7 linked regions of the Mus musculus genome follow. The protein of the gene in region 3 purifies or fractionates together with the protein of the main gene of each other region. This does not show direct contact. Links are inferred from orthologs where the notes say so. Each region holds a gene or a part of one and is shown on either strand. Other genes may lie near its edges. The genes, in order: Nudc, Tfap4, Btrc, Nfkbib, Elavl1, Nuak1 and Smad4.

Region 1 (4,699 bases), on a different chromosome or scaffold from region 3:
GAAAGCAAGCCATTTGCTCAGAGAAGTCCAGGCCTTCTGTATTAGGGTTTCTCTTCTCTTCTCTTCTCTTCTCTTCTCTTCTCTTCTCTTCTCTTCTCTTCTCTTCTCTTCTCTTCTCTTCTCTTCTCTTCTCTTCTCTTCTCTTCTCTTCTCTTCTCTTCTCTTCTCTTCTCTTCTCTTCTCTTCTCTTCTCTTCTCTTCTCTTCTCTTCTCTCTCTTCTCTTCTCTTCTCTTCTTTTTTCTTTTCTTTTCTTTTTCTTCTCCTCCTCCTTCTTTTCTTTTTTCTTTTCTTTTTTTTTGAGACAGGGTTTCTCTGTATAGCCCTGGCTGTCCTGGAACTCACTCTGTAGACCAGGCTGGCCTCGAACTCAGAAATCCACCTGTCTCTGCCTCCCAAGTGCTGGGATTAAAGGCACCTGCCACCACTGCCTGGCTTGTACTAGGGTTTCTTTTGCTGTGATGAAATACTATGACCAAAAACAGATTGGGGAGAAAAAGGTTTATTTGGCTTACATTTCCACATATTAGTCCATCTTTGAAGAAAGTAAGAATAGAAACTCAAACAGGGTAGGAACCTGGAGGCAGGAGCTGATGCAGAGATCATAGAAGGTGTTGCTTCCTTATAGAACTCAAGACCACTAGCCCACAGATAGCCCCACCCACTGTGGGCTGACCTTCTCCATCAATCACTAATTAAGAAAACACCCTACAGGTTTGCCTACAGAAGGATCTTAAGGATGCATTTTCTCAATTGTGGCACCCTCCTCTCTGCTGACTCTAATGTCAAGTTGATATAAAATTAATCAGCACAGCTTCTAACATGGAGATGACCCAGACCAGCTCTCAGAGACCTCAATCTGATAGAAGGAACCTGCTCTTTGGGAGTGACGTTCAACCCTTAAGAGTTCCTATTCCAAGGTGTGAGATAGCCAGGCTCTCTGGAAAAGTTAATGTAATAATCTTGTAACAGTATAGCACTCTCAGGTTTACAAAGTAATAAATAAATGTACGCGCCGGCGGTGGGGAATCTTCAGGCTATACAAGCCTGCATGCAATCTCAGTGCTTGGAAGTGAAGGCAGGCAGGCCAGGAACACAAGTTTGTCTTTGCCTTGGATACACGGGGCATGTCTCAACAAAACAAAACAAGCCATCACCTCTGCCGTCAACAGCAACGACAAAACAAACAAACAAAAAAACAGAAAAACTAAGGATTTTCAGACAGTAATGAAAGAGCATTAATCCTAGTGCAAACAGTTTGTAAAACTGTTCTACTCAAACTACAGTTTTGTGCTCTTTTCTTAAACGTCTAGTAGGTTGACCCTTTGGTGAGTGCTTTCTTCCTGAGTCTTAACTGCGGCTTGTAGGAGGAGAAGGCTAACAGTATCACTTGATCAAAACTTCCAGCCCTATTAAGATGTGAGCTCAGAGCTTTCTAGAAAGCTCCCAGGTATCTGGTGACCATAGCAACTCAAGCCAAACTCTGCGGCAGCGAGCCCCGCCCACTGCCTTGGGACCGCGACTGTTGATTTGCTCCTCGGCTTAGCCAATGGCCAGAGAAGCGGGTTGTGTTCCGGGAGCTCAATGGGCACCGATGGGCGGGGAGGCGGGAAGAAAGCCGGGAAGGGCGAACCCGCACGGCCGGGCGGCTCCTGCGTGTTTCCGGCTCCGCTGCGGAAGGCTAGCGAGGGGAGCCGTTGGGCCCGCGCGAACCGTGGGGAGCGCGGGCATCGCAGAACGCGAGTGCGGAGCTCGGGGCGCAGCACGATGGGAGGGGAGCAGGAGGAGGAGCGCTTCGACGGCATGCTGCTGGCCATGGCGCAGCAGCACGAGGGCGGCGTGCAGGAGGTAAACGACGTGGCCCGCGCCGCAGCCCTTCTCCGCGGTCGGCCGAGACCTCCCCCACCCCGGCCGCGCGGGTCCCCGGGTCCCCGCGTCCCAGCTTCCGGTCTGCCCAGCCCGCGAGTGAAGTCTCGCTCCAACGCCGTCAGCGCCCTGCACTTAGCCCCCAAGAGCAGTTTTCGTTGTCCCAGAGTGACCCCAGAGCTTCCGCACCCACTCTGCGCTCCACGGGTGTTTCTGCTTTCATTTTAATGGTTACTGTGTAGAGCATCCCTAATGGTGGTTACTCTTTAGAGCATCTCTGGGCCGACTCTTCTCGATATGATCTGCATCTTACCCAAAGTGGAGCCTGCCTATCAATACTGTGTAGGGTAGTGAGAGCCCGGGGGGGCGGTTAGCACGTGGTCTCTTTATACTTGAAAGTATACTGACTGAGGAAGTGAGCCGGAGACCTGTAGGTTAAGCTCCCTCCTGGTTTATCCTCAGTTACCTCGTCTGTGAGGTGAAGCTTAGGAATATCAGTTCCTGTTGTTTTTTTTTCTTGAGTCAGGGTCTTGCTCTATATCCCTGGCTTACGCAGAACTTGCTATATAGACCAAGTGACTTCCAAATCAGGGTTATTCTTCCTCTGTCTTCAGAGTGCGGGAACTTGGATATGGGCCACCCTGCCTAGCACCTAAGTACTTGTCATTGTCGTGTACCAGACACATAATAAGACTGGGTCCTGGGGATGCAGACACGGAAGAGACTAGGCTTTGCATTTGGGGAATTTGTTGAGGGTTTCTTGCTTTAAAAAATTATTTGGAGCCGGGTGTTGCTTTAATCCCAGCACTCAGGAGCCAGAGGCAGGTGGATCTTTGAATTTGAGGCCAGCCTAGTCTACAGAATGGGTTCTAGTACAGCTTGGGCTACACGGAGAAGCCTTGTCTCAGAAAAAAAACAAAACCAAAGAAATTTATTATTATTATTATTATTATTATTATTATTAGTAGTAGTAGTAGTGTTTGTGACAGGACAGTTTTAAGGGGCCAGTTTATTCCTGCCACCAGTATCTGGGTTTTTAGGGTTGAGTTGCTAGGATTTTGAGGCAGTCAATTTTACCCAGTGATTCATCTTGCTGGTCAGGATAAGATGGTGCGTGACTGGAGTCCTAGCACTGGGGAGGAAGAGGCAGGAAAATTGCTACAAGTTAGAGGTTAGCCTGGTCTGTATAGCAACTTCTAAGCCAATCAGGGATATATAGTAAGACCCACAAATATAATAACCCCCAAATAACCCATAGGTGATGTTAAATGGCCAGACCTAGTTCACACAGTGGGTGTGTAGCAGATGAGCTGGTAGAGGTAGAAAACCCAGATATTACATTCTGTAAGCACCTGAGGGTCAGAGAGTGACAAGTTTACCCAAAGCCAGGCCCCCAAGTCCCCGAGGAGACGGGCTCCTGCCACCCGTCACTGGGGATGGCTTTCCATTCTGTCTTGGTCAGAGTGACCACTGCTGTGATGAAGCAGGAAGAGCAGCTTGATGAGAGGAAAGGCTTTATCTTACTCACAGGTTCACAGAACAGCTCATCATCAAAAGTAGTGGGGGGCCAGAGCTGGAGGCAGGAGCGGATGCAAAGGCCATAGAGGGGCATTGCTTACTGGCTTGCTCCGCCTTTCTAGAACCCAGGACCATCAGCCCAGGGATGGTACCGCCCCCAATAGGCTGGGTTCCATCCATCTCTCCTTAAGAAGCTGCTCTAGAGGCTTGCCCGCAGCCTGATCCAATGGAGGCAGTTTCTTAATTGGAGTTCCCTCCTCTCTGATGACTTTAACTTGTGTCAAGGCACATAAAACTGGTTGCCACACCTTCGAAGTCTTTTTCTCTAGGTGCCTGTGTTAACTGAGGGCTTCTAAACCCTTGAAGCGGGGGAGTCTTGTCTAATCTGCAAATGTGAACCTTGTCTGCGTGTTCCTAAACTGACACAATGTGAAAGTGTTTGGGAGTGAATCCACTTTGTTTCTGTGAACTCAAAGTGTCTAGAGGTAGGGATGGCTGTCTCAGATTCAGAACCTCTCGCTGGGGCTGGGGCAAGTGAGAGTCGTCGTGCTAACTGGGGGCCTGCGCCAGCTTGGGCTTCTCCCCAGGAGTCGACTGAGCATGGGCCTGTCATAAAACACTTGAGCCAAGACACTCTTTCAGTGCTCCCTGCTTGCTGTGGATGTGACGTGACCATCTCCCTAAGCTTTGCTTTTTTTTTTTTTGTTGTTTTTCGAGACTTGGTTTTTTTGTATAGCCCTGGCTGTCCTGGAACTCACTCTGTAGACCAGGCTGGCCTCGAACTCAGAAATCCGCCTCCTCTGCCTCCTGAGTGCTGGGATTAAAGGCGTGTGCCACCACCGCCCGGCTCCCTACGCTTTTGCTCCTTGTCTTTCCCACTGTGATGGGCCAAGCCTGAAACTATAGGTCAAAATAAACCCTTTCCCCTCTTAAGTTGCTTTTCACAGGTCTTGTGGTTTTGGTTGTTGGTTGTATTTTTTGCTTGCTTGTTTTTTTTTTTAATCCCAGCACTCAGGAGGCAGAGGCAGGTGGATTTCTGAGTTCGAGGCCAGCCTGGTCTGCAAAGTGAGTTCCAGGACAGCCCAGAATATACAGAGAAACCCTGTCTCGAAAAACCAAAAAAACAAAAACAAAAAACAAAAAACTAAACCAGCATTTCTGTGGGAAACAAGACAAGTCCCACTGCATAGCTGAGGCTGACTGTAAACCTGTGATCCTCCTGCCTCAGCCTCCTCAGCACTGTGCCGCCACACTCAGTTATCATTCTCATTGGAAAAATTCTAGGCGTGCAGTACTGCTCACTTTGAATTCCAGCAC
Region 2 (3,208 bases), on a different chromosome or scaffold from region 3:
CTCAGAGTCAAGAGATCTGCCTGCCTCTGCCTCCTGAGTGCTGGGATGAGAGGCATGTGCTAGCACACTTGGCCAACAGTTCTTTATTAAAAACATAAAATACAACCTAGGGCTGGGTTGTTTAGTTCAGTTACAGAGAGCTTAGCATGTAAGTTCTGGGCTCAACTCCAGGTATACAGACACAACACACACATACACACACACACACACACACACACACACACAAATACAAATACAGCTGAAATAAGACTCCATAGGAGCTGTGGCACCAGGAAGGGTTTGACCTGGTTCCCCAGGTTGTTCTTCATGGCTTCTATAAGGAAACCAGCTAGTCAGTCAGAAGGGAAAGGGTTTTTTGTTTTTTTGTATTGGAAACAGTAGAGACAAAAGTTTAGAGGTGAGAAGGGGAGAGCCTTCCGTCTGCCCTGGAGGGGGCGCTCTCTGTCAGGGTTTTCGGTTTAGGATTGCCCTGTGGTGTTAGCGCCACTGGTGGAGCAGGTGTGGCCTTGCCCCACCTCTCAGCGCTGTGCTATCCCACCTGCAGGTGCGCTCCCTCGAGGCCCACATGTACCCGGAAAAACTCAAGGTGATTGCCCAGCAGGTGCAGCTGCAGCAGCAGCAGGAGCAGGTGCGGCTGCTGCACCAGGAGAAGCTAGAGCGGGAACAGCAGCACCTACGGACCCAGGTGAGCGGGGACTCCAGGAGGCAGGGGGGGCCCTCGAGGGCCGTCGCGGGGTTCTCAGAATCTGTAGGTGGGTCTCAGACTATGTAGGTACAAATAGCTGTGCAGGCATGCTGCGTTTTAGCTGTCTGAGAGCATTGGGACATAGGCCACAATCCTCACGGCAGTCCTTTGAAGCCTGAGCTGCTTACTGTTTTATTGCTGTGGAAAATAAGGTAGAGAAAGGTGAAGTAATTCTCTGGAGCAGGAATTTGAACCCTCTCTGCCTTAATCCAGGATCTATGCTCCCCTCCTCCTCCTCCTATTCATCTTCCTCTTCTTTTTTTTTTTTTCAACTTCCTCTTCTTCTTTCTTCTCTTCTTCTTTTTTGTTTTTCTTTTTGGTGGTGCTGACTGAGCCCAGGGCATGTCTGGCAAGCATTCTGCCACTGAGTACATCCCAGGCTCACACATTCTGCCACTGAGTACATCCCAGGCTCACACATTCTAACACTGAGTACATCCCAGGCTCACACATTCTAACACTGAGTACATCCCAGGCTCATACTCTGCACTATTTTCTGTTTTTTGTTTTGTTTTGTTTTTTTTGTTTTTGTTATTGTTGTTTGTTTGTTTTTTGTTTTTGAGTCAGATCTCACTATTTAGACCAGTCTACTACCCTTGAACTCACAGAGCTCTGTCAGCTGCCTCCAGAGTGCTGGGGTTAACGGTGTGTGCCACCATCATGCCCAGCCAGAGTCTCTACTCTTGAACAGTCATTTATCAGGTCTTAATGTGCTTCTTGAGCCACAAGCAAAAGGGCCAGAGGATTGGGGGGTGGGGGTGGTATGGAAGCCGCTCACTGCCCTTCCCTTCATTCCTAGTGTTGGAGGGGTTGGTGGGGTTGTGACTCGCTTGGTTCTTTCTACTTGTCAGCGTTTTATAAGTGTAACAAGCACCTGAAGCAGCCAGGTTATAAAGAGAGAAGGGGAATTTGGCTCAAATTTCAAAGACTTCAGATTGTGCATGATTGGTGAAGTGATAGATCATGGCAGGAACAAAATTACTCACTTCATGACTTAGAAACTAAAGAGAGAAAAAGACAAAAGCTGGGTTCTTACTGATCTCTTGGAAAATGTGCCAGCCCACTGACCTAAAGGACTTCTACCTGGCCCCATTATTATAATTACAATAATAATCATTATTATTGGTTTTCTTTTTTGAGTCAGGGTTTTTTTTTTGTTGTTGTTGTTTTTTGTATTTTCGAGACAGGGTTTCTCTGTGTAGCCCTGGCTGCCCTGGAACTCACTTTGTAGACCAGGCTGGCCTCGAACTCAGAAATCCAGCTGCCTCTGCCTCCCAAGTGCTGGGATTAAAGGCATGTGCCACCATGACCGGCTTTTTATAAATGTGTCTTTTTTTTTTTTGTATTTTTTTTGTCTTAAGAGAGGGCCTTGTGGGCTGGAAAGATGACTCAGCGGTTAAGAGCACTGACTACTCTTCCAGGGGTCCTGAGTTCAATTTTCAGCAACCACATGATGGCTCACGACCATCTGTAATAGGAATCCGATGCCCTTTTTTGGTGTGCCTGAAGACAGAGTGTGCTCACATTCATTAAATAAATAAATAAATAAATATATAAATAAATCTACTTTTTAAACAAAGGGTACACAGAGACATACAAGCAGCACACATACCCACGAGGGCCTTGCCATGTATCCCATGTGGGCCTTGAGCTTGTCTTCCTCCTGTCCAACCTTCTGACAGCCATGATGAGAGCTATGTACCACTAGCCTCAGCACAGGTTTCTGTCTTCTAATACTGCCATACTGGAGACCAAGCCTTTGTTACATGGACTTGGGGGTGGGCATTTAAGATCTAAGCCAGCAGATACCCTGTGAGTAAGGAAATTTGGTGGGCTAGAAACAGGACTTCTGTTTTGCAGCTCCTGCCTCCTCCAGCCCCCACCCACCACCCCACAGTGATCGTGCCTGCACCAGCCCCGCCTTCCTCCCACCACATCAATGTTGTCACCATGGGTCCCTCCTCAGTCATCAACTCTGTCTCTACATCCCGGCAAAATCTGGACACCATTGTGCAGGTGTGTGGGCTCGGGGAAGGGGCTTGTGGGAACTGACTCTTGAGGACATGTTCTTTCTTGGAGATCAGGAAGTAGGATGTGGATCAAGAGCAAGATGGAGCTCCTGTAGGAGGAGGAAAGATCTGGACGACTGGATAGGTCCTCTTCCTTGTGCCTGACTCCTTTCTTAACATGACTCTGTGTGTGTGCGCGCGCGTGCACGTGTGCATGTTTGCATGTGTTCCTGCCTGTCTATCTGAACTGCTTGCCGAACGAGTTCTCTACCATGTTGGACTGCAAGGGGTCAGAAGCTTATAAACTCAGGTTTATAAGGCCTGGTGGCAAGTGCCTTCACCCACTGAACCATGTTGCTGGTCCTGGGAAGTTTTGTTCTCAGAGCCTCCTGGTGATCAGTCTTAGTTCAGCCTGTGAGCTGGTCCTGAACTTTCTCTTACCTTCATGTGATAT
Region 3 (4,446 bases):
CTTACTGAGGTGTCCTTCTTGGCCACTCTCCCAGTTGTGGCCTTTTCTCAAAAAGCAGCCACAACGGCAGGCAAGGCCAAAAGAGAAAGTAGCCAAATGTAAAGGAAAACTTAGCTTCTCCCTGTGACTGACTCAACTTTCATTCATGTGTGGTGCCCTCAAAACTACAAACTAGTACTTAGCCACCTCAGAGTCGGGCACTGTCAACACCTAACTCACAAAGCAGAGCTGAGGGAGTTCAGAACGTTCCTAGGCTAAGGATCACAGGCAGCAGTACGGGGTGATCTCACAATGTCTCTTTATGATTGCTAAGTCTCATTATTCCATAAATCTAATTAAATGGCAGGTTCCTCTTCAGAGCCAACCCTCGAAACCGGAAAACAAAACTGAGCACTTTTCTGACTTACAACTGGAAGCTGGCTGAGGGCATAAAAGCAGTACTGACTTACTCCCATCCTCTCCCCCAAGATTTCAAGGTCTCTGCTCATTTGCTTGTTTGTAAACAGGGTCTCAAGTAGCCCTGGCAGACTTAACTCCTGACCCTTCCGCCCAGTGCTAGGATTACAGACATTCACCACCACACCTAGCTAGCTTGTTTGGTTTTTTTGTTTGTTTATGGTCTGTTGACACAGGGTATAATTCCGTATGTAGCCCAAGCTGGCTTTCACCTGGCCAATACTCCTGCCTCTTCCTCACCATCCTCCTGCTTGTTCTCTTCCTCCTCCTCTCCTCCTCTTCCTTTTCTTTTTTGTGTTTTTCAGACAGGTTCTTACTATGTGCCTTTAGCTATCCTAGAACTCACTATGTAGACCAAGCTAGACTCAAACTGAGATCCACCTACCAGTCCAGATGTAGGCCACCTTCCCCAGCCTGACTCCACTTCTTAAGTACTGGAGAATAAGGTACAAGCCACAATTCCAGACCTGGGGTCTCAATATTTTAGAAGGTCAACACAGGACAGAAATTCAAGAAATGTCTTTTGGCTCAATAGAATTTTGTGAATGACAAACTTGTGTTTCTGAAGGTACGGATACAAAGTAATGTTTTTGTTGTTTGGCTTTTAGAGACAGAAGTTCTCTATGTAGTTCTGCTGTCCCAGAGCTCATACTACCTGGAGCTGGTACTCTAGACAAGGCTGGCCTTGAACTCAGAAATCAGTCTTGCCTCTGCTTCCCAAGTGTTGTTCCCAAGCCACCACAGCCCAGCTAAAATTTTATCTTTTTAATACACTTTATTTATTTATTTATTTATTTATTTATTTATTTTACGTGTATGGATGTTTTGTCTGCATGTATGTCTGTGCATCACCTGTTCACCTGTGTACATGGTGGGGGGGTGGGGGGGGAGTCCAGAAGAGGGTGGACTGGAGTTAAACCACTGTGAGTAGCCATGTGGGTGCTGGGAATCAAGCCTTCATCCTCTAGAAGAGCAGCAATGGTCTTAACTGCTGAGCAGCCTCTCCAGTCCCCAAAATAAAAAGTTAAATTTGACCAGCTTCTATAAATATGAATGGGACAATTTAAAACCTAATTTCAACTAAGTTAGTATCTATGTTTATCAAATTTGTTATGGCATTTTAGGCAAAGGCACAAAAAAACTATTCAACCAAGGAATGCTATTTGAAAGATGGGTTACAATTACTTCTGAAAAAAAACAAAAACAAACAAACAAATAAACAAAAAACCACAAGACTTGATTGAAAATAATGCATTATCCCTAAGACCACCTGTTAAGCTTAAAAAAAAAATCTATGCATCCATCCTTCTTTAGATGTAACTAGAGGCTGGTTTACACCTAGGCTATACAAGAAAGCATCAGATTAAAAGCATCAAATATCAGACTGGTCAAGGTTGCCAAAGACAAGCACAGCAAAGGAGAACCACCATACAAAGTTACAGAAACAGGGCCTAAGGGGTTGACACAGACCCTAAAAATGCAATACTCACTCTGTACTACAACCTAAAACTCACGGGCAACCACCAATCCCGACTTATCTCACTTTCTCTACTCCCTACATCCTTCCTCTGAAATTTCCTCACATCTCATTTCTCCAAGGACTTTCTTCTCACAGAAAGCAATACAGCACCTGGCTTCCCCCACTTTTTACTACCTCACCACTGAAGGCCCAAGTTTTGTTTTGATTTCTCTTATTGGTTATTAACCTTGTCCCCACTCACCTGTAACTACATTTCTTTCATCGCTTTGTCCTTACCACAAATAATTTTGACCCTCTCCTTCAAAACAGAGCACGTATCTCCTTTCTGATATTTGTAATTCTAGCTCACAATCAACACTGTCTTTCTCTCCCAGGAACTGTCACCATAGCCCTAGGTCTGAGTCCTTATCTTCTTAAATGAGGCCTCTTCCAGAGTTTGCCAACATTAGTAGAGCTAACTGGGATTCCACCCTTAGCCCTTAGGCAAAGGCTATCTTCTCAGCCCATCCTACAAAAATACTTGCCTCCCAGCCATGGTTTTCCCACTTTCGCCGTTACAGCCATCAGTTTCCAGCCCTGCCCAGTTTCCCCCTGCCCCCAGTGTCTGTCTTGCCATTATCCTATCTCCACTATTCCCCACTCCTGAGTGCACCTCCTCTCCCAGGCCTTACCCGTAACCCTGACACCGGGAAGGCCCCTGCCAGCGTCCACAGGCGTCTCTCCACCCGGGTTCCTCCGCTCTTCAGTAACTGTCCCCACGCCCCTTTCCCTCTGGGGCCCCGCGCGCCGCCAGGAGCCCCCACCTCGAATGAGCTCCCGCTGTCACTTGGCCTCTCTTCCACAAGATGGCGGAGCTGCTGCCCCCACCCCAGGGTCCCCTCTGTACCCTCCTGCACCCTCCCCCAAGCTCAGGTCCAGTCCCTCCCTCCGCCTCGCCACTGGCCTTGGCCCCCAGTCCCACTGCCCCCTCCTGCGGTGAGCGGGTGACCCTGGCCTAAGCTCAGCGACACGCCAACGCAGCCGCCTCCACTAGTCCCCTGCCCGCACCCATCTCCTCACCATAAACTTAAGCGCTTTCTCCTGCAGCACCGCCTCTGCCGGGTCCATAATCGCCCGGACTACTGGGTCTGCTCTCCGCCGGGGCCGCCCCTTTCGTGCCAGGCCGCAGCCAACGCAGCGTCCGGATCCCGCCTCCTCTTCCTTCCCCCGCCCTCTCTTTTTACCTCCTGGCACTGGCAGGGGGCCCGAGGAGGACCGCGGCTCTGCGCGTGCGCACTCCGCTGCCTCACGGGACTTGTAGTTCTGGAGGCTCCAGCGGCAAAAGGCAAGGCTACGCGGCGAACAGCAACTCCCACGGGTCACTGCGTAGAGTCGCGGCTGTGTGCAAGCCAAATGTAGAGCACTCGAGAGCCCGGAGGGGAAGTCGGCTGATGGGAATTGTAGTTTCCAGTCTCTAAGAAGGCAAAGCCGGAGTGTCACCGTGGTTACCAAACGACGCCAGTGGCTCCTTGCCTGGCATTTGATAGCAAGATGGCGACTAGCGCTTCCTCTGTATTCCAAATACTAGGAAAATAGAGAACTCAGGGTCCTTGGTTCTCCCTAATTGTGATTTTAGAAAACCAGACCCTCCTAAAGTTCATACATCTGGCATCTGCAGAAAGATTGAGACCTAGAGACTTGAGCCAAGTGTGCATGTAACAGCAGCCTCAACATCAATGCAAGATTCCGATAACATCCTAAGCTATTATTGCCTCTTTTTTTTCAGAAGAGCCTTTTCTCTCCCCAAGCAAGCCAGGGACAGATAGAACTCACTCCAGGAAACCTTGAGTTTAGCGCTCAGAAAGTATGAACTACCATTGCTAACCCTGAGATCAAAGTCCTGTGTTACATAAATGAAATTCAATGACTATCAAGCAAGTGAAATCTATAAGTAGTGTCTTTGGCCATAAAAAGCCAGAAATGGGAGCCGGGCATGGTGGCGCACGCCTCTAATCCCAGCACTCGGGAGGCAGAGACAGGAGGATTTCTGAGTTCAAGGCCAGCCTGGTCTACAGAGTAAGTTCCAGGACAGCCAGGGCTATACAGAGAAACCCTGTCTCAAAAAACCAAAAAAAAAAAAAAAAAGCCAGAAATGGGCCAGGTGTGGTGGCACATGCTTTTAGTCCCAACACTTAGGAGGCAAAGGCAGAGGCAGGTTGATGTAGTGAGTTTGAGGCTAGTCTTGTCTACAGAGCAAGTTCCAGGACAGCAAAGTCTACACTGAGAAACCCTGTCTTGAAAAATACAAAAGAAAAGAGAGGGACAAGATGGGGCTGGGGAGATGGCTCAGTAGATAAGAGTGCTTCCCATGAAAGGACAAGGACCTGAGTTCAAGTTTCTAGCACCCACATAAAAAGCTGGGGTATATGGGCTCAGTGGTTAAGAGCAGTTGCTACTCTTGCAATGAACCTGGGTTCAATTTCCAGCACCCACATGATGACCCACAGCCACTACTGTGCCTCACCTGGAGT
Region 4 (4,678 bases), on a different chromosome or scaffold from region 3:
CTGGGCAGTGGCTTGCTTGGTAGACTGCTAGCTTAGCGTGCATAAGAACCTGGGATCAATCCCAACTCTGCATAAACCAGGCACGCACCACCTTGCCCGGAATTCCAGGCAGGAAGACCAAGAGTAGGGTAGGGTAGGAGCAATGGCTTAGCAGTTAAGAACACTTGTTGCTGCCGGGCAGTGGTGGCGCACGCCTTTAATCCCAGCACTTGGGAGGCAGAGGCAGGCGGATTTCTGAGTTCGAGGCCAGCCTGGTCTACAAAGTGAGTTCCAGGACAGCCAGGGCCATACAGAAAAACCCTGTCTCAAAAAAACAAAAAACACTTGTTGCTCTTGCAGAAGACCCCGGTTTGATTTTCAGCACCTACATTGTGGCTCATAGCCATCCCTAACTCCAGTTCCAGGGGATCCAACATTTATACACATAAAGTAAAATTATTTGGGAAGCAGGGGCAGACATATCTCTGAGTTCAACGTCAGTCTGCTCTACATAGAGAATTCCAGGACAGCCAAGGCTACACAGAGAAACCCAATCTCAAAAAACCAAAAATAAATAAAATAAACCAAAGAAAAATTTCATAATGTGTAGACAGAATCTCTTATAGGCAACACCTGTCAATAAAAAAGCAAACGGCCAATGAGCTGAAGCAGGAAATAGGAGGTGGGACACTGGCAGGAAAAGAAAGGATTCTGGGAAATAGTGAGAGAATAAAAGGAGACACAGGGAGAGACACTGGAGGAGTCACTGAGAGAGACACCGAGAAAGACGATGCTAAGGAAGAAGCAGGCCCGAGACTGAAGGAAAACATAGAATGATTTAAATGGGTTAAATAAGTTATGTGTTAGCTATGGAATGGGCCAAAGCTTGTAGCCAAGGCATTTATTAATAAATAGTTAATGCCAGAGTCCTTATTGTTGGGAATTAAGTGGCCGGAAGAAAAAAAAAAAAGGATTCATTTTTTTTTACAGTAGTGTTCAAGGCTAGCCTGGGCTACATAGTGAGACACTGACTTAAAAGGGGGGTGGGGTTGGAGGCTGGGAAATGTTTTGCTAAGTAAAGCACAGTGACCTTAGTTTAGAACCCACATAAGAAAAAGCTGGGTGTGATTGTAAGTATTTATAGTCCCAACACTAGGGAGGAGAACCCTGGAATGGAGCACAGTGGTGCGCGCCTTTGATCCCAGCACTCCGGAGGCAGAGGCAGGTGGATGAGTTTGAGGCCAGCTTGGTTTACATAGTGAGTTCCAGGCCAGCCACCCTGTCTCAAAGAGGAAGAGGAGGGTAGAGAGCAAGAGATGACCGCTGAGGCTCTCAGGCCAGCTAGTCTAGCCTACGTGCTCAGTGCAGCCCAAGGTTGCCCTCTAGTCCACACACACACACACACACACACACTCCCCAGGCGGGATGTAGTGATACCCACTTGGGAGCTGAAAGCAGGAGAATGAAATGTTCAAAGCTATCCTCAGCTACAAAGTAACCTCAAGGCTAGCCTGGGCTACATGAGACCGTCAAACACAAACAATCGAGAAAGGAAGGGGGAGGATAAAGAAAGCACAAAAACCAGACCCAAAGTAACCAGAGGGAAATAATAAAGGAACAGGAACCAACAAAGTAGAAAGTGAAAACTAAGGCAACTACTCCTGGCTCTTTAAGATGAGTGTTTGTTGGGTTCCCCTCATGGGTCAGGCACTGAGTCACTGGGCATACGCAATAAGCACAAAGGACAAGAAAATCCCGGGTACAATCCCTTAATGCACGCCGTCACCACAACCATCCCTTCTCCCCAGCTTATCTACTAATCAACATTTCCTACTCTTTAACCTTTTTTCAGTCACCCTCTCCTCCTTTTCCTCTTCCCTCCTTTTTGATACTGGGTCCTTCCAGGCTGTCCTCGGACTAGTGATCCTCCTGCCTCAGCCCCTCGAGTGCCAGAATGACAAGTGTGTACCATCACACTCAGCTAAACTAAAACCAGGGATTGGAAGGTGGTAGTTTGGGAGAAGCATTTGGCTAACAGATGAATCTAGCCTCATAGAATAGAGTTTCTACATCTTATGTAGCTCTGGCTGGCAGGGAACTCAATCAGGTGGCCTCAAATTCACAGAGATCCACCTGCCTTTGCCTTCCAAGTGCTGTGAGAGCCATGACACCCACCAGCTCAATTTCTTAACTGCAGGGTCAATACTGGACGTGTCAGCTTCAGAGACTCAGGGCCAAGAACTAGTTTTGAAATCAAAATCTGGCTTATACAAGAATAGCCAAAGACCAAAGACTACATCTGGAAGTAAGAGGTAAGAAGATGTGGGAACTAGAGTGGTCGGAAAGGTTCAGATCCGATTTGGGGATCAGGAGCTCAAATTTATAGAGTTCAAAAAAGGTGAGACACTTGACTGTGTGAAAGCGTACCAGTCTCACAATTTAGTGTTTGGGGGTTAAGGGCCAGGAAGTCCAGCATCGGAAATCAAGAGTTAGGAACGAGACGATACGAAGTCACAGGAATCGTAGGCTAAAGGGGACTCAGGTAAGATCCCAGGGCTCAGTCTAGTAATTTAAGGTTTACTCACGTGTCCCCATCCTCAGTGACGTAGCCAAAGACTAAGGGCGCCCACGACAGCTCTGGGCCAAGCTCTGCGCCCAGACCTGGTCCTCCGGGAGCCGCTGCGTCGGGACCTAGAGAGCCCAGGCCGCTGTCGCACCATTCATCGGCATCCGCAGTTTTCCCCAAGCACGCGACCCCGGCCATGGCCCCAGCCACCTCGGGTGGCCCCCTGTGGTCGCCTGCCTGTCGCTGGGCTCTGCGATGAGCTCCAGTGCTTCCGCCCTATCGGGAATTCCCCAACACGCCCCCTCATATACCCAATCAAAATGTTTTAAATAGCTACACCCCGCCCCTGTACTGCACCACAGCCAATCAGAAAAATGAGGTGGACATTCGCTCGCTGAGTTTCCCCACATTTTCCAGACGCCCTTTATCAATATGGCCGCCGGCGCCAGGCTTTTTGGGATTTGTAGTTTGATAACATGAGAGGCACATTGTACGAAAGCGGTTATGGGGATCGCATTGCCTGCCGGGAGTTGTAGTTCTCTATCCTATCTCGGCCTCTTCTTGTTTCCGCTGCCGTCACGGGACAGAGCAGTCGGTGACAGTCCCGAGGGCCCCCACCCCGTTCCCATGGCCGAGCCGGACCGTGAGTTAGGGGCCCTGTTGGGAGGGTGGGAGGGTCGGGCCGCGCCGGGGCCTGGCTTTGGGCTGCAGGCCCCGGGGCCCGAGGGTAGGCTCGGTGGGGCGGGAGACAGGATCTACCTGAAGGGAGTGGGATTCGGAGGGGTGTTGCTAAGTGGTCCGTATTACTAGGTTGGTTGGTTTCTGGATTGTGAAATGTAAGGGTCCGATTGTCAAGTTCTTAATGATCGCATTTCTCGTACTTTGGCTGCTGAGGACCCTCGTTGCTAAGGACCAAAGTTACCACTATCCCGGTTGCTAAGGTTGTCTGTTGTTAAGGGCAACTGTAGGATGGGTTCCGGGGACCCCTGTGGCCCCTTACTATCTCATTCCTTCAGTTCTTGTGCCTCTCCTAAACCTCCTACCTTCACTGCATCTCCTCTCCCACACTCAACTCTCAGCAGAAGTATCCCTACTTACGTCTCTTGAAAAACTTAGCCCTCCCTCATTCTCTCGACTCGCACATGCTACCATATCCTGCTTAACTCTGAAACCTTCCTTCAGTCCAGTCTCGCCTGCTTTCTCCTCCTAAAGATTCCCCTCCTCAGCCTTTTCACGTCACACATACCTCCACTCTAAAATATGCCTTTTCCCATCTCCGATAGTTTTACTACCATCCCTGACTCTGAAATAATTAGGTTGGTGGGTCCTCTTGTCCTCCACCATTGTGAGCCCTTCTGCTTAACTCTTTCCCCGCACTGTAACCACGTCTGCTCCCCTCCTCCCCAGCCTCTGACCCTCTGGAGACCCAGGCAGGGAAGGTGCAGGAGGCTCAGGTGAGATGGGGAAGGGGTGGAGGGAAGGAGAGACTTGGTTCCACGTGCCGCACTGGGGGGAGGTGGCAAGGGAAGGCTTTTACCCAAGGGCCCTTGGCTTATGGCCCTGATCCCCAAGCCCATCTGGGGATTAGTACAATCTCCTGGGAGAATGGTGGCTTCTTGGGACTGTCAAGGAAAATGTATAGCCTCAACCCCTGGTTCCCTTCCATATCGTCCTCGTTTCCTACTGTTGCCCATCCCATCCTCAGCCCCTTCTGAACCTCATTTGTGCTGGACCTGAAAGAGACGGTTTTCCAGTTCAATCCGCAAACTCAGATCCTATGAGGTGGGGGAAAGGACCCTATAGGGCACGTTATAAAAGTATCGAAGCTGGGTGTGGTGCCAGCCCCCTGTAATGCCAGCACATGGGGGGGGGCAGGGGAGGGGGGAAGTGAGGTAGGAGGATGGAGAAAGGAGAGGCAGCTTGGGCCATATGGTGAGACCCAGTCTCAAAAAAGGAGGGAGGAAGGGAGAGAGCATACCCCTGGAGTACCGGGCAAACTCTGTGGGTCAGAGATTATAGAAGATTCTAGCCAAACTCTCCCCTGGTGGAACCCACAAGCTGATCTAGGAACAAGACCAAGATATAGTCACAGTGTCGTATAAGTGAAGTGATAAGGGATTTTCTTAAATGAGA
Region 5 (3,928 bases), on a different chromosome or scaffold from region 3:
TGGTATTGGTCAAACCATATTTCTGATGAATGAACATTACCTACTCTCTGTATTTTTTTCCATCAGATTTCCCAACAAAAGAAATGGCCTTAACTTGCTCAATAAAAACAGGATGAATTTCTCCTTAAAAAACAAAACAAAAAAAACCCCTTTCTCTTGGGTTGTGACTTTTCCTCCAATGCTGGGGACAGAGCTCAGGGCTGCCCTCATGCTGGGCAAGTGCTTTAATCTCTGAGCTACACACACGTCTGGGTTCTGTATTTCTGCCCAGCCTGACTAGCTGTCATGAACGCGTCCAGGGCCAGGACCTAGTCCTTTCATAGAATGAAAACTGCTTTCAGGAATGCCTTTTCAAAGCTACTTTCTTCTAGACACTGACAAAGAAAGCTCATCAAGGAATGCACTGGGACTTTTATCTAGAGTGCTACCCAGACAGTGGAGACCACACAGAAAGAAAATGTCGAACTTGAAGTGACCTCCAGAAGCTGGTGACATTTCCCCCAGTTCCTCTCAGAGTTACTATGGAGTAAACAGGTGTTGGGTGGTAGGGATGGTATAGTGATTAAGGTGCTAGCTCTGAGCACCAGGTCCTTTAAAGACACAGTCTCTTTCAGGTGTGGAATACAAAGGCTACACGACTGAGGAGAATCCCACCTCCACTCAGAAGAATGCTGGCTAAGAAACTAGAAATGCGTATTTTATCACAACATTTTGGTCCCACGGGGAGGTGCACTCTGCACCCTCAAAGCAGAGGACCCCTCTCCTTTTTTGGTCAGATCTGGGCATATGAGCCTTTGGTTCTGGGTTTCAGGCCCTATAGGCTGGGAATTATGGGATGGAATGAGGTACTGAGCAGCACTTGACTCACTTAGGGTGGGACAAAGCCTGAGTACATGAGACAACCTCACCAATGGTAGAGAACACTGCAACGAGCCTCCAGGGAAGTCAGGAAAAGGAGGCGGGGGAGGGAACAGGCAGCCTCAATTTGTACATGGGCTTCTTGATACACTGACCTACTTTAGAGATGGCTGTGCTTTTTGCTCAGTTTTCCACTTAAGTAAATGAAACAAAATAGCTATATGTATATATATATGTATATATAACTAAACAGATATGTGTAAATAATGCTATCATACCATGATATCAAGAACTAAATACTAGCCTGCTGTTATACACTCCAGGCTTACATCAAAGTGAAGAGCTGCCAGTAACTGCACTAGCCTGTTCTCATTCTCTCCACATACTAATAAACATCAGAACAGTCCTGAGGGCTGTAGGGGTCAGGCCTCATGTGCTCTTCCCTTCCCTTTGACCTTTCCTACCAGCTCCTGAGTTAAGAACCATTGATCCATAGCTGTATTTCTTATACCATAGCTCCAGAAATGTTTTTTAAACTTGAGGCAAGTGTTTAAGGTCTGACAGACTCCTCCCTGAATGCTGGGCTGTCTGTGCCCTTCCCTAGCCAAAAAAGAAAGAAAAGGTAAAACAAAAAACAAAACAAAACTCGAGCAAAACAAAATCAAATTTAATGGTCTTAAATGCAAAAGTAAAAACAAACAAAAAACACAAAAAAGCAAAAGAAAATTAACAGAACAGAACCCCAAACGTCAAGGCAGTTATGAAGAGAACTTTGAGGGTTAATCCTTAAAACTACAAATCAAAGGATTTTGTTAATAGATAACTGGCAAGAAGTACTTTTCTGCTGAGTGTCCATACAAAAGCAAAATTTCAAAGCAAAATCTGACTAAGATTGGAAAAAGTCTAGTGCTCACAAGAAGGGATGCGAGAAAATACAATGCTCAAATGTTTCTGTGTCATTAAAAACAGAGCAATCGTTGTGCATTCAAGCTAGGTTAAATGGTCTTGGAAACTCGGGAAGTTGCATGAACAACAGTATCTGATGTGTGGGCACCATGCATGCAATGTGTGGACAGACGCTCAGGATGTCAGAGGAGTGGGGCATCTTCAGGCATGCCTGGAGCTCAGGTTTGACTCTGGAATATACTGGAGCTGCCCTGAAACTCTTTGGTCCGTTCTCATTGGTGCCTGGGCTTACAAAACACCTTTTGTGTCTCTGGAGGGCCTGGCTCAGCCCAACATGTGGAACCTCTTCCCATCTCCCCTTGTGGGAGCCCCAGAATATGGGCCCTGCTGCTGCTCCCAACACTATAGAGCTGGGACTGAGTGGGCAGGGGGCAGCAGTGGGACTGCTGGGGAGGGCAAATTTCCTGTCACCTAAAGCAGAAATTGTTTAAAATAGTGAAGCAGTTGAGAAAAAACACACTCCCCATCTGTCTAACATCTTTAGGTTAAAAACTAAAACAAAGAAATTAAAAAAAAATTTTTTTTGTTTTGTTTTAAATCCAGTCTGTGGAGACATCAGATGAAACAGGTGTTAGACAGTCTTAGAAGTAAAAGCATGCTTCAGTCCCACCACCGTCCAGAGTGACTGGTTAGTCAGCGCAGTCTACTTCGGTTTCACTTTAATATATACTTTAAAGGAAATAACTTAAGAAACTTAAAATTGGTCTAACATTTGTGGGATTTCAAGCATTTGAACATGTCGGTTGCATCCCAGAGTATAAAAACCTTTGCACTTCTCATTTAGACTAAGACAAACACTTGTGAAAATTGGCGCAAAATGAGTTGTACACTAACAAAAAAGTTTCAACTTCTTCACTCTTAATTATCTATTCCGTACAAAAAAAGAAAAAAGAAAAGGAAAAAAAAAAGAAGGAAAGAAAAAAAAAGCATGAGCGAGTTATTTGTGGGACTTGTTGGTTTTGAAGGAAACCTGTAAAATTTTGTCCCCCAGGCGGTAGCCGTTCAGACTTGCTATGGCCATTGCAGCTTCTTCATAGTTTGTCATGGTCACAAAACCAAACCCTTTGCACTTGTTGGTGTTGAAATCACGAATCACTTTCACATTGGTAACTGCACCAAAGGGGCCAAACATCTGCCAGAGGATCCCCTCATCGGCGTCTTGCCCAAGGTTGTAGATGAAGATGCACCAGCCCGAGGAAGCATTGCCGGGGACATTGACACCAGAAATCCCACTCATGTGATCTACACCCATAGGGGAGAACCTAGCAAACAGAGAGCACATGTTCAGGTCAAGGTTAAGGCCAGCAGTGTACCTGCACAATGGGGTAAGAAGTAGGATGGAGAGGGCCAAGATGTAAGGACACTTGGGCCTCTCATGCAGCCAGCACCTCTGAGCTGGAGATGCTCAAGGCTGGGATACCATGGGGTCAACTAATTTAAAGAAACTGACATATATTAGCTGTGTAAGAGAATAATGTTTATTTTAACATCTTCATAATGCATATACTTTGGTAATTTTCACCTTTATTATCCTCTTGTCCCACCTTCCCTCAGACCTTGTCTACTTCCCAAATTGTGAGGCTGGGAAAGAAACTGAGGATTGGTACTGAACCACAAGCTCACATTTTAAATTCTGGAAGTTTCTTCCACATGCTTCAGTGCAGGTGAAAGCACTCTGAAGGAGTCTCATGGTCCCTCTCCTTGAAGGAAACTCATCACATTTTGTGTGTGAGCATGTGTATACATGAATCCATGTTGGGGAAAGAGGGAGCTTCCCCCCAAATTTAGTCCCTTCTCTTTCTTTCCTTTTTCTTCTTTTTTTTTTGAAATAAGGTTTCTTTCTCTGCCTAGCTCTAGCTGTTATATAACTCTATCTCTCTGGACCACGCTGGCATTGAACTCGGAGATCTGCCTCTACCTCCTGAGTGCTGGAATTAAAGCCACACCCCTACTGCTCTAGCTATTCATTGTGATACTTCTCCCTGAGGGGTCAAAGCCCTGTAGTAACTGTATACTATGCTGCACAACGTTACTACAGAGCACAAAAATTCCTTATCCCTACCTCTGAGCTGGCTAAAACCATCTCGCAAGGGCCAGGTCAAGC
Region 6 (3,928 bases), on a different chromosome or scaffold from region 3:
GCTTCAGTTTCCCTATGTACATGTGAGTTATAAGATGAACAGTGCCCATTTCACATGCTGCCTGAAAGAGTCATTTATGAAAGTATTAAGCACATGGGAACTAAAACACCTATGAAATATGTGTGTTACTTTTGTGGTAAGAATTCCAGATTGTGAGCTTCCTGAGGACAGGGACTGTGTGTCAGTCATTGTCCCAGCAGGGAGAAGAGAGTCTGGCAGGTTGTAGGGGACTCAGTAATGCCTGCTAAATTAAACTGTTTGGATAAGCCTATTGATGAGAGTCTTTCCCAGAGCCCACCAACCAGCAGAGGGAGCGGCTGTGTCAGATCCGGGCTATGAGGAGCCACGCCCACCCGCCATACCCACACCCCGGCTGAGTTTTACCTTAATGTTGCAGTTGTCATCAAGCAGTATGTTCTCCAGCTTCAAGTCCCGGTGGACCACACCATTCTGCAACGAGGAAACGGAAGAACTGAGCAGGAGCAGGAGCAGGAGCCAGAGCAGGAGCGTGTGAGATGACAGACAAGAGAGCTCTGGGGAGGGGGCAGCGGAGGCCGGGCACAGGGAACAAGTCTGACAGATGAAAGCAATGCACCAGCCAGTCCCGGTGGTCTTCACCTCCATCCTTCAGGCCTGCTCTCACTGTCAGGACGCTCCCCAGACAGCAACCAGCGACAGGAGAGCATTAGTCACTTTCTGTGTGGTTAACAGAAAAATGACTGGAATCCATTCTCCCCCCCCAGAGCCTGTAAACCAGCAGGGGGATTCTTTGTGGGAATGTAATTCCACTGTGTCTGAGACAGGGTCCCAGGGACACAGCAGACATCTCAGTGGGTGCCTTGGAGCACAGGGCCCCAGGGACAGCCTGCCTGCCTGCCTGCCTGCCTGTCTGCCTGCATCCCTCATGCTGGAAAGAGGCCTGACCCAGTCTCCTAAAGCTTTGTCTTAGATACTCCCTAAGCAGCCAGCTGGAAAGACTTGAAAGTCCCTCTCCACTCTGCAGGACTCAGGGCTGATGAAAAGGGTGCAGGCCAATGAGACCAGAGCCACTAGGAACTCTTATGTCGCGTGACCTTTTCATTCAGGCAAACTCTGGCCAATTTGGGACTGGACTTGAAAGCAGCAAGCCAGCTGAAGGGAAAGGACACCAATGGGCTGCGGAGAAGGTTCTGGGGTGGGTGGACAGAAAGAGTGCTTGGGGACCATGTTGGATGTGGATGTGGGGGGAGTAGGTTCCCAGCATTCCCCGCTGTGTAAATGGCTTCTGCGGAGAAAGCTGCTATATCAAACATGCCTGTAGCTGGTTCTTTCAGTTTGTTTTCCTTTCCGTTTGACAGCTTCTAATGTCTCCACAGCCACCAACTTGGAGAGAGATGACAAGTATTCATACTACTGCTTTTGCTAATCCAAGCTCTCAGGAGGTGTCCGGAGATTCCGAAATGCCCCCCCCCAAAAAAAAAAAACACATCTCCCAGAGGAGAGATGTGGAGTACAGGAAAGCCGACTCTGTTTGGCTTTAAATGAAATACTGCGAGACGTTTGTTTCACATGGTCACATTCCTGACTGACATAAGAAGATGGAACAAGCCTAAGAACATCCCATTCATACACAACCCACAAATTCACACACTTCAAACAACGGAAGTAGTCTGCGGTGCTCTCCAGCATTACTTAAGGCGGAGTCACAGAAGGCTGCGTGGTCTGATCATGAGTGTCTCTCGTGTCCACAGAGAGGCCAACCAAAGGTTGTGGGTGCACATGTCCATCACCCTACCCCTGATCTACAGAGACAGGCAGCACCTGAGGGCTCACTGGCAAGCCAGCCCCGTGGAACTGGCAAGCTCCAGATTCAGTGAGAGATCCTGTCTCTAAGACAAGGTGGGAAGTGACGGGGGATACCTGACAATGACCTTAGGCCTCACGTGTACACACACACACACACATACACACACACACACACACACATACACACACACACAAGCATGGGATTTGAATAGGGAGATTTTTTTTTCTCATCCTAGTCTGTAACATCTCCACACATGTCACAATGAACTAACCAAGGCTTTTATAATATTAAAGCTATAATGAGTCTACGCGCGAAGTTGCAGGCCCGGTCGTACCTTGTGACAGTAATGCACGGCAGACACAATCTGCCGGAAGAAGTGTCTGGTCTCCCTCTCGCTGAGGCGCCTGCGCTCACTGATGTAATCATACAGCTCTCCTTTGCTGGCATATTCCATGATGATCACAATCTTATCTTTGTTCTCAAACACTGTGGGGGGCAGGAAGAGAAATAAACAAACACTGTTATCCAGAAAGCCCGATGACAACCAACTGCAGAGAAAGAGCAAGGAAGACCATGGAGATGCCACTGAGCCGGATGGGGCTCAGGGAACAGGTTGAGAATCTGTGCATTCAATATCAGGGGGGCTTGGGGCAATGGTGGCTTCATTCTGTCCCTACACCCATCTTGTACAGTTGAGGTCCACACAAGGAGGAAGTCTCCTAAACAGCTGACCAGAACCAACTTAGTCTGGTTTCAGACATGACCAGGGAGCCCCAGAGCCAAACCTGGAATGGAGTCAGGACCCCTGCAGCCCTCTGGAGCTGGGTGCCCCTGCCTGCAGTCCAGTCCCTTCTCAGCCGACCTCCACCTACCATGGGTATCTTTTATCCATAATGTTTGTCAAGGCCCTCTCACCAACTGTTCCCCAGCTGTTAGGTTTAAATTGCAGTCCCACACAGACACCCAAGGGCAACACAGGGGGCGAGGAGAAAAGGCAAGGAAGAGAGATTCTAGTTACTCGGTCCACTTCAGCCACAGTCCACCAGCTGTCATGTAAGACGCCTTTAACTGTCTGGAAGTACATCCTTCCTAGAGATGCAGAGGGAACCCTAGACCCCTCCTTCTGCCAACCTCTACCTTATCAAGTCTGACCGTTCCTGCCCACTTCAATGTCCAACAATACAGAAAGAGCTGTCAGTCATTCACGTTTCTCACATTTACACACACGGTACTGCCTCCACCTCCCTGCTCTCCCACTGCCTCACCCCTACCTATCCTGGCCAGGCGTTCATCAACAGAGCCTTCGTTCAGACTTATCTGCACATCACATGCCGTCATCAGCCCCTTACATCCCTGGCCTACCCTGGCCTCATCGTACCTTATTTCCTGGTTACATATCTATTTTCCTCCGCCTGGTTGCGGAGCTTGAGCTGGGAGAGCTAAAACCTACTAACATCCTGACTTTGCTGGCTGTGTGACTCCTGGAAGTTGCTTGCCTTCTCTGTGTTTCTGTTACATCAAATGCAAAATGGGAATGAACTTAGAAAGCATTTCTTAGGACTGTTGGGAGACCGGAGGGATAACAGGATGGTAGATGCTCAGAACGAAGCCTGAACGCACAGCCTTCCAGAACCTTGGTTGTTATTGTTTATCTTAATATTATTGGACCCCCCCAAGGCCTGGCACTGAGACAAACACGCCCATTCAATGAGCAACTGAGGTGAACTGGAATCTGCCTGCCTACGGCCTGGGCTCCCTCCCCTCCCACACCTTGTCTCTGGCCTCTAGAGGGTCACCCTCCCCACCAGTTCCTCTTTGGCTCCTGCCAGTCCAGCCAACTCTCTCTGATAAAATGAAGAGGAAGGCAAGGCGGCAGTAGGAAGGTAGAGGGAGGGAAAGGGGGCAGCCAGATAAAACTGGCTGACTTCTTGGGAGTCTGCTGGCCTCTCTGTACCCAACCTCCTGGGCTCCTACCAGGATTTCATCCTGGATTGGACTTTTCATTAACTCTAAACTCTAGGAAGTAGGAGGGTGGCCTTGGGACATACGGCACAGGCTGCAAACGTGAGCGATACACATGCCCTCGGGAAGCAGTTTACATCCTAGGTTGTTGTTGTTTTGGTTTTTTAAGGTAGGAAGAAG
Region 7 (4,556 bases), on a different chromosome or scaffold from region 3:
CAACTCTAAATGTGCCTCATTAGCATGAGCTGAGGATATTACAGTATCATAACAGAAGTAGCTCATATGCATGCTATCTATACATATTTATCAGTTATCTGAATGTCTACCTTAAGTGAATCTTAATCAGCAGATGGGGGAAAGAACTAAGTAATCTGAGAAAGCGGTACTAAATGTGACATCCGCTCTAACTTCAGCTTCCACTTAGCACAGAAACAATGACAGCCTTTAGTCGGGTTAGCTGTATACCTGACTGAGGACCACCTGAGTCAGTCCTCCTCACGGCTTTAACCCAGCACAGTGGAGGGCCGGGGTATCCAACCACAAGGAAGCACTGAGAAAGCTATTACAAGATGCTTATAAAGAGACACTCATTCTGGGTGAATCAAAAATGAAAAGAAAAACAAAAACCTAGGCATCAACTAGATGGGGGACAAAATAGAACTGAAGTAGGTAATATTTCATCAAAAACAAAAAAGAAAAAAAAAAGGATTGTGCTCTCATCTAGAGATCAAATTTTAAAGAAGCCCAAATATGCACTTTAGATTTAACCAACTCTGCAGACTCTGCAGGGTTAACTGCCCTGGTACAGGCCCCAGCTATGCACAGCTCAATTAGAATAGTGTGTGCCAATGTTACTATAACTCTGGCTCAGTTAGAAAAATAAAAAAACAGGTTCTAACGGGGGGGGGGGGGGGGGGGGATCCTGCATAAAGTATTTTACTATTCCACCATTAATACGGCCCCTCCCCCGTGTGTGTGAAGCAGAGAATCCAGAGACAAAACTCACCAACAGAAACACTTGAATTAACATGTAGCATACATGAAAATGACCTTAAAGAAAGAGCAAGATCTGTACAACTCATATAATCAGAACTATTTCAAGAGCAAAACCATCAGGGAAGTTCAGGTCCATATAAAACACACGCCAAATCACTGCACTGACTTGTTTAGCACAAATTTTCCTTAATTCTGTAAACACAATTTTAATTCTTCCCAACTTAAGATTTACAGTGGAAGCATTTAGTCCAAAAGTGTCAACTACATCTTCAAAAACAAAAATATGTAATACCCCTTTAATGCATACTCACTCAAAAGCCTAGAAAGCAAAAAAAAAAAAAAAAAAAAAAAAGCCACCTGTCTTAAGACAGTGACAAAAAACTAAAAACCTTTATGTCAATTCTCTTTGGAAAGGATTTGTTTTAATTCCGGCAATTGAAGCCTACATAATTCATCACATCAGAAGCTGCTTCAGGCTATGGGTATTAGTCTGCCTCGGTGCATGTTTGTAACCAGGTCACTGAAGAAAACACACTCCTGAGCCTATGAGCACCGTGTCGCAATTTTGTATCCCAGCTCCGGAGAAGCTGAGAGACACGGATGGTCAGGAGTTGAAGAGAGGAGCAGGAAGCCCTAGAGACTCATGACAGTACACTGAACAAAGCATTAGGGAGAAACTGTATTTTAAGAAATATTAAAGCAATCATTTACACTCTGAAATAACACGTACTAATCCTACCAGATAGATCCAAGAGATAGAGTCTACAGTAGGGAGAAGTTTACTTCTCTGAATAGCCTATGCTACATACATTTCAACTGCAAGCGCTTCATATCCTGAATGCAAGGTAAACCTGTAAAATCTGTAACAAAAACTATTCAAATGCGGTGCTTGAAATCTAATTGCTTTGTGGAATTTATAATAGATTTCTGTACATTCAGTTAAGATTCCACACGGTTTGTGTCAGCAGAAAGTCCTGAACCTGATTCTTAAAACGTTCAAAGTCTCAAGCTACTACTGAGAGGAAAAGGATGCTAAATCTGGCAAAATTCAACGATTGTTAAAAAATTAAGCGAGATTACAAGCCTGCAGAACACGAATTCAAGGTACTTAAAATAACTCCCTCTTTATCTCGTTACTTTATTTCTAAGTAAGTGACAATCCCACCTTAAGTTATCAGAAACTGAAGGCACTGATAAATTCTAAAATGAATTACCTGAAAACCAACTTTAAAAATTAAGTTTACTCCAGGTTTTGTGGGGTGGGGCAGTGGGGAGGAGCTATCAATAAACAGGGCTTTTTAAAACCTCTGGCAAAGGAACCTTTCAAGTTAACTAAACACGCCCTTGTCTTTGAAAATCTGGCTTGAGAAATCATAACAGCAGTTTGGGGTGCTGAAGCCAACGCCCTCCACCCTCCACCAATTTCACGCTCCGTGCATGTAGCCCTAACAATAAAATAAACTACGCCTTTTATTAGGAGACACGTTTTATTAGGGGAGGGTGGTTCAGTTTGGCGCTAAGAGTGTCTCCCGCACGCCGCCATCACCCACAATACCCAAAAAGTAAACAAATCAAAGCTACAAACGTAAACTCAGAGCACACAACCAGGAAGAGAAAGTGGGGACAAAGAGAAAACAAACACTTGCTGGGGGGTGGGGGAGGTGGGGAAGGCACGAGGACCCGACCCGGGGCACCCCGGGCATAACGCACTCGGGCCGGGCCGACGCGACGGCCCGGGCCGCGGCCAAACTCCTCCCGAACAACAAAGAGCGGCGGCACGGACGGGGACCGGCGACCGAGTTCCCGGGACGGCGGGCTCGCCTAACTGCGAGAGGAGTTGGGGCCCGGGAGCCACGCGCGGGCACGCGAAGCCCCGGACGCGCGGGGGCGACCCACCCGAGCCCCGCTGGGCCCACGCTCGCGCCGGTCGCCGCGGGAGCCCGCCCCGGGGCGGGGAAGCGCGGGCGCCGAGGCCCCGGTTAGGGGAGGACCGCGCGTTACCTGGGCTCCGCGCCGCACCGCGCCTCGCCTCGCTGTCGCTTCCCGGGCCCCGCCCGCGGCGTCCGGCCCAGGCGGCCCCCTCTCCCCGCCGCGCCGCGGACCGCGCCGGCCGGCCGGGCCGCTGGAGCTCCGGAGCCGCCCCGCTGCGGGGGGCCTCGCTCGCGGGCGCCGGCTCCGGTCACGCGCTCCCGCCCCGGGGACGGCCGCGGAGCGGAGCGCGGCGCGGGAAGGGCCTCCGGAGGACGGCGGGCGGGCGGGCGGACGGACGCGAACACGGGCTCCGCCACCCGAGCCGCTCCGTTACCGCAGCGGCGACGACGACCAGGGCCGTGTTGTTGCTGCCAACTTGTCGGAAGGACACTGAGCATGCGCGCGCGGAGACCACATCCGGGTAATTTCAGGGTTTGGCCCTTCCCTCCCCCGCTCCCCTCCCGCAGCGCTCCTTTCTCCCCGCTGCCCCCGCCTCCCGCCCAGAGCAGGGAGGGTCCCAGTGCGCAGGCGCCCGCGGGCAGCCCGGCGGCTCTGGCTGAGTTTGAGCAGCGAGCGAGCAACGGCGCCGGAGGGGAGTCGCCTTTTCGCAGGATGCCCTCTTCAGACACGGAGTGCGGTTCACAGAGTACCCAAGCAGCGTGGGACAGCTCGGGATGAGCGATGGGCAGGCCCGCCGGGTTGGGTTGGCTTTTGAAGACCTTGGTGGACACAGCTGGACCGAGTGCGGGTGTTTGTAGCAGTTTACTTCCGAGCGGATCTCTCACTCTGTCCCTTTCATCACACCGGCTCCAAAAGGTTGAGCTCGGAGGCGCGCGCGACAGTCAAGGAGTCACATTCCAGGGCCTAGCCCGAGGTGGCCAAACGTGAGCAGTTGGGAAAGAGGCGGGAATTTCGAGTTGGAGGCGACCTTCAAGACTTGCTTAAGTGTACACCTGCTAAATAGGTTGTGCAGGCTGGGATGTAAAGAAAGCTCAGTTTCAGAACTTCACACCTTACAAAACAAGTCAAAACTACCTCTCATTACTTAAGTGGTCCGCTATCTAAAACTTTCAGGGCAACGTAAAGGGACAGTTCAAAATTTGTTGTCCATATACAAAGCCCTGGGTCCATCCCACCACAAAAGTGGTGCATTTGGTGGCAAAAGGCCCGTCTTTGATTTTGACTTTGTACTTACTTTCTTGTATAATTTTATGAATATTGTACTTAGTAGCTAGAACACAAGCCTGCCGTATAGTCCCTGGCTTTAAATCACAGCCCATGCATGTAAATCTTAGCCCTTGGGAAGCAGAGACAGAAGGAGCTCCAGCCTGGTGGATTTACGTGGCAAATTTCAAACCAGGACTAAATAGACAGACCCTAACTTTAAATTTATTCAGACGTCTAGGAAACATGAATTATATGTTGTCTTTTTGTTTCCTTTTTCACCTTCCCTCGGGGTTCCTTCTAGTACAGCTGTTAGACCAAGTCATTTCTTAAGTCTGTTGGAGAAACTTTACAACACACACCAATGTGTAACACTGCCCCCCCAGGGTAAGCCAAAGGGACAATTCAAAAGTTGATGTCTGCAATGAGAAAATAAATCACTTAAATGAATCGATAGTAGAATTTCCTTCACAAATCCAATTCTTCATTGTCATCAAAATTGATAGGTGCAGTACAAATTGAGTTATATATAAAAAGAGAGAGAGAGAGAGATATGAAGTTAGGAAAAGGATATTCCAGTGGGGGAGTCCAGGAGCTGTTGTAAGAAAGCCTGGAGTGGATAAGATCTATATACAATGTAT

Evidence for each region.
Region 1: the proteins of Btrc (region 3) and Nudc purify together in Homo sapiens (affinity purification with mass spectrometry; 3 studies listed by BioGRID and IntAct, counting the BioPlex papers as one, with this or other methods). This does not show direct contact. The link is inferred for Mus musculus from reciprocal best matches to the Homo sapiens genes BTRC and NUDC.
Region 2: the proteins of Btrc (region 3) and Tfap4 purify together in Homo sapiens (affinity purification with mass spectrometry; 4 studies listed by BioGRID and IntAct, counting the BioPlex papers as one, with this or other methods). This does not show direct contact. The link is inferred for Mus musculus from reciprocal best matches to the Homo sapiens genes BTRC and TFAP4.
Region 4: the proteins of Btrc (region 3) and Nfkbib purify together in Homo sapiens (affinity purification with western blotting; 4 studies listed by BioGRID and IntAct, with this or other methods). This does not show direct contact. The link is inferred for Mus musculus from reciprocal best matches to the Homo sapiens genes BTRC and NFKBIB.
Region 5: the proteins of Btrc (region 3) and Elavl1 purify together in Homo sapiens (affinity purification with western blotting; 4 studies listed by BioGRID, with this or other methods). This does not show direct contact. The link is inferred for Mus musculus from reciprocal best matches to the Homo sapiens genes BTRC and ELAVL1.
Region 6: the proteins of Btrc (region 3) and Nuak1 purify together in Homo sapiens (affinity purification with mass spectrometry; 3 studies listed by BioGRID and IntAct, counting the BioPlex papers as one, with this or other methods). This does not show direct contact. The link is inferred for Mus musculus from reciprocal best matches to the Homo sapiens genes BTRC and NUAK1.
Region 7: the proteins of Btrc (region 3) and Smad4 purify together in Homo sapiens (affinity purification with western blotting; 7 studies listed by BioGRID and IntAct, with this or other methods). This does not show direct contact. The link is inferred for Mus musculus from reciprocal best matches to the Homo sapiens genes BTRC and SMAD4.

The regions. Positions count from the first base shown.
Region 1 is NC_000070.6:133,542,952-133,547,650, reverse strand, and holds the start of Nudc (nuclear migration protein nudC), read left to right. Parts: upstream 1-1,623; 5' UTR 1,624-1,765; coding exon 1,766-1,846; intron 1,847-4,699. UniProt on the Homo sapiens protein: Plays a role in neurogenesis and neuronal migration. Necessary for correct formation of mitotic spindles and chromosome separation during mitosis. Necessary for cytokinesis and cell proliferation.
Region 2 is NC_000082.6:4,546,808-4,550,015, reverse strand, and holds part of Tfap4 (transcription factor AP-4), read left to right. Parts: intron 1-544; coding exon 545-685; intron 686-2,605; coding exon 2,606-2,761; intron 2,762-3,208.
Region 3 is NC_000085.6:45,362,436-45,366,881, reverse strand, and holds the start of Btrc (F-box/WD repeat-containing protein 1A), read right to left. Parts: upstream 3,149-4,446; 5' UTR 3,044-3,148; coding exon 2,996-3,043; intron 2,802-2,995; exon of another isoform or gene 2,608-2,801; intron 1-2,607. UniProt on the Homo sapiens protein: Substrate recognition component of a SCF (SKP1-CUL1-F-box protein) E3 ubiquitin-protein ligase complex which mediates the ubiquitination and subsequent proteasomal degradation of target proteins. Recognizes and binds to phosphorylated target proteins.
Region 4 is NC_000073.6:28,763,680-28,768,357, forward strand, and holds the start of Nfkbib (NF-kappa-B inhibitor beta), read right to left. Parts: upstream 2,966-4,678; 5' UTR 2,744-2,965; coding exon 2,565-2,743; intron 1-2,564. Other genes in the region: Sirt2 (NAD-dependent protein deacetylase sirtuin-2), read left to right, coding at 3,173-3,188, 3,953-3,999. UniProt on the Homo sapiens protein: Inhibits NF-kappa-B by complexing with and trapping it in the cytoplasm.
Region 5 is NC_000074.6:4,286,839-4,290,766, forward strand, and holds part of Elavl1 (ELAV-like protein 1), read right to left. Parts: intron 3,087-3,928; coding exon 2,762-3,086; 3' UTR 1-2,761. UniProt on the Homo sapiens protein: RNA-binding protein that binds to the 3'-UTR region of mRNAs and increases their stability.
Region 6 is NC_000076.6:84,391,872-84,395,799, forward strand, and holds part of Nuak1 (NUAK family SNF1-like kinase 1), read right to left. Parts: intron 2,273-3,928; coding exon 2,121-2,272; intron 451-2,120; coding exon 385-450; intron 1-384. UniProt on the Homo sapiens protein: Serine/threonine-protein kinase involved in various processes such as cell adhesion, regulation of cell ploidy and senescence, cell proliferation and tumor progression. Phosphorylates ATM, CASP6, LATS1, PPP1R12A and p53/TP53.
Region 7 is NC_000084.6:73,700,649-73,705,204, forward strand, and holds the start of Smad4 (mothers against decapentaplegic homolog 4), read right to left. Parts: upstream 3,144-4,556; 5' UTR 2,782-3,143; intron 1-2,781. UniProt on the Homo sapiens protein: In muscle physiology, plays a central role in the balance between atrophy and hypertrophy. When recruited by MSTN, promotes atrophy response via phosphorylated SMAD2/4.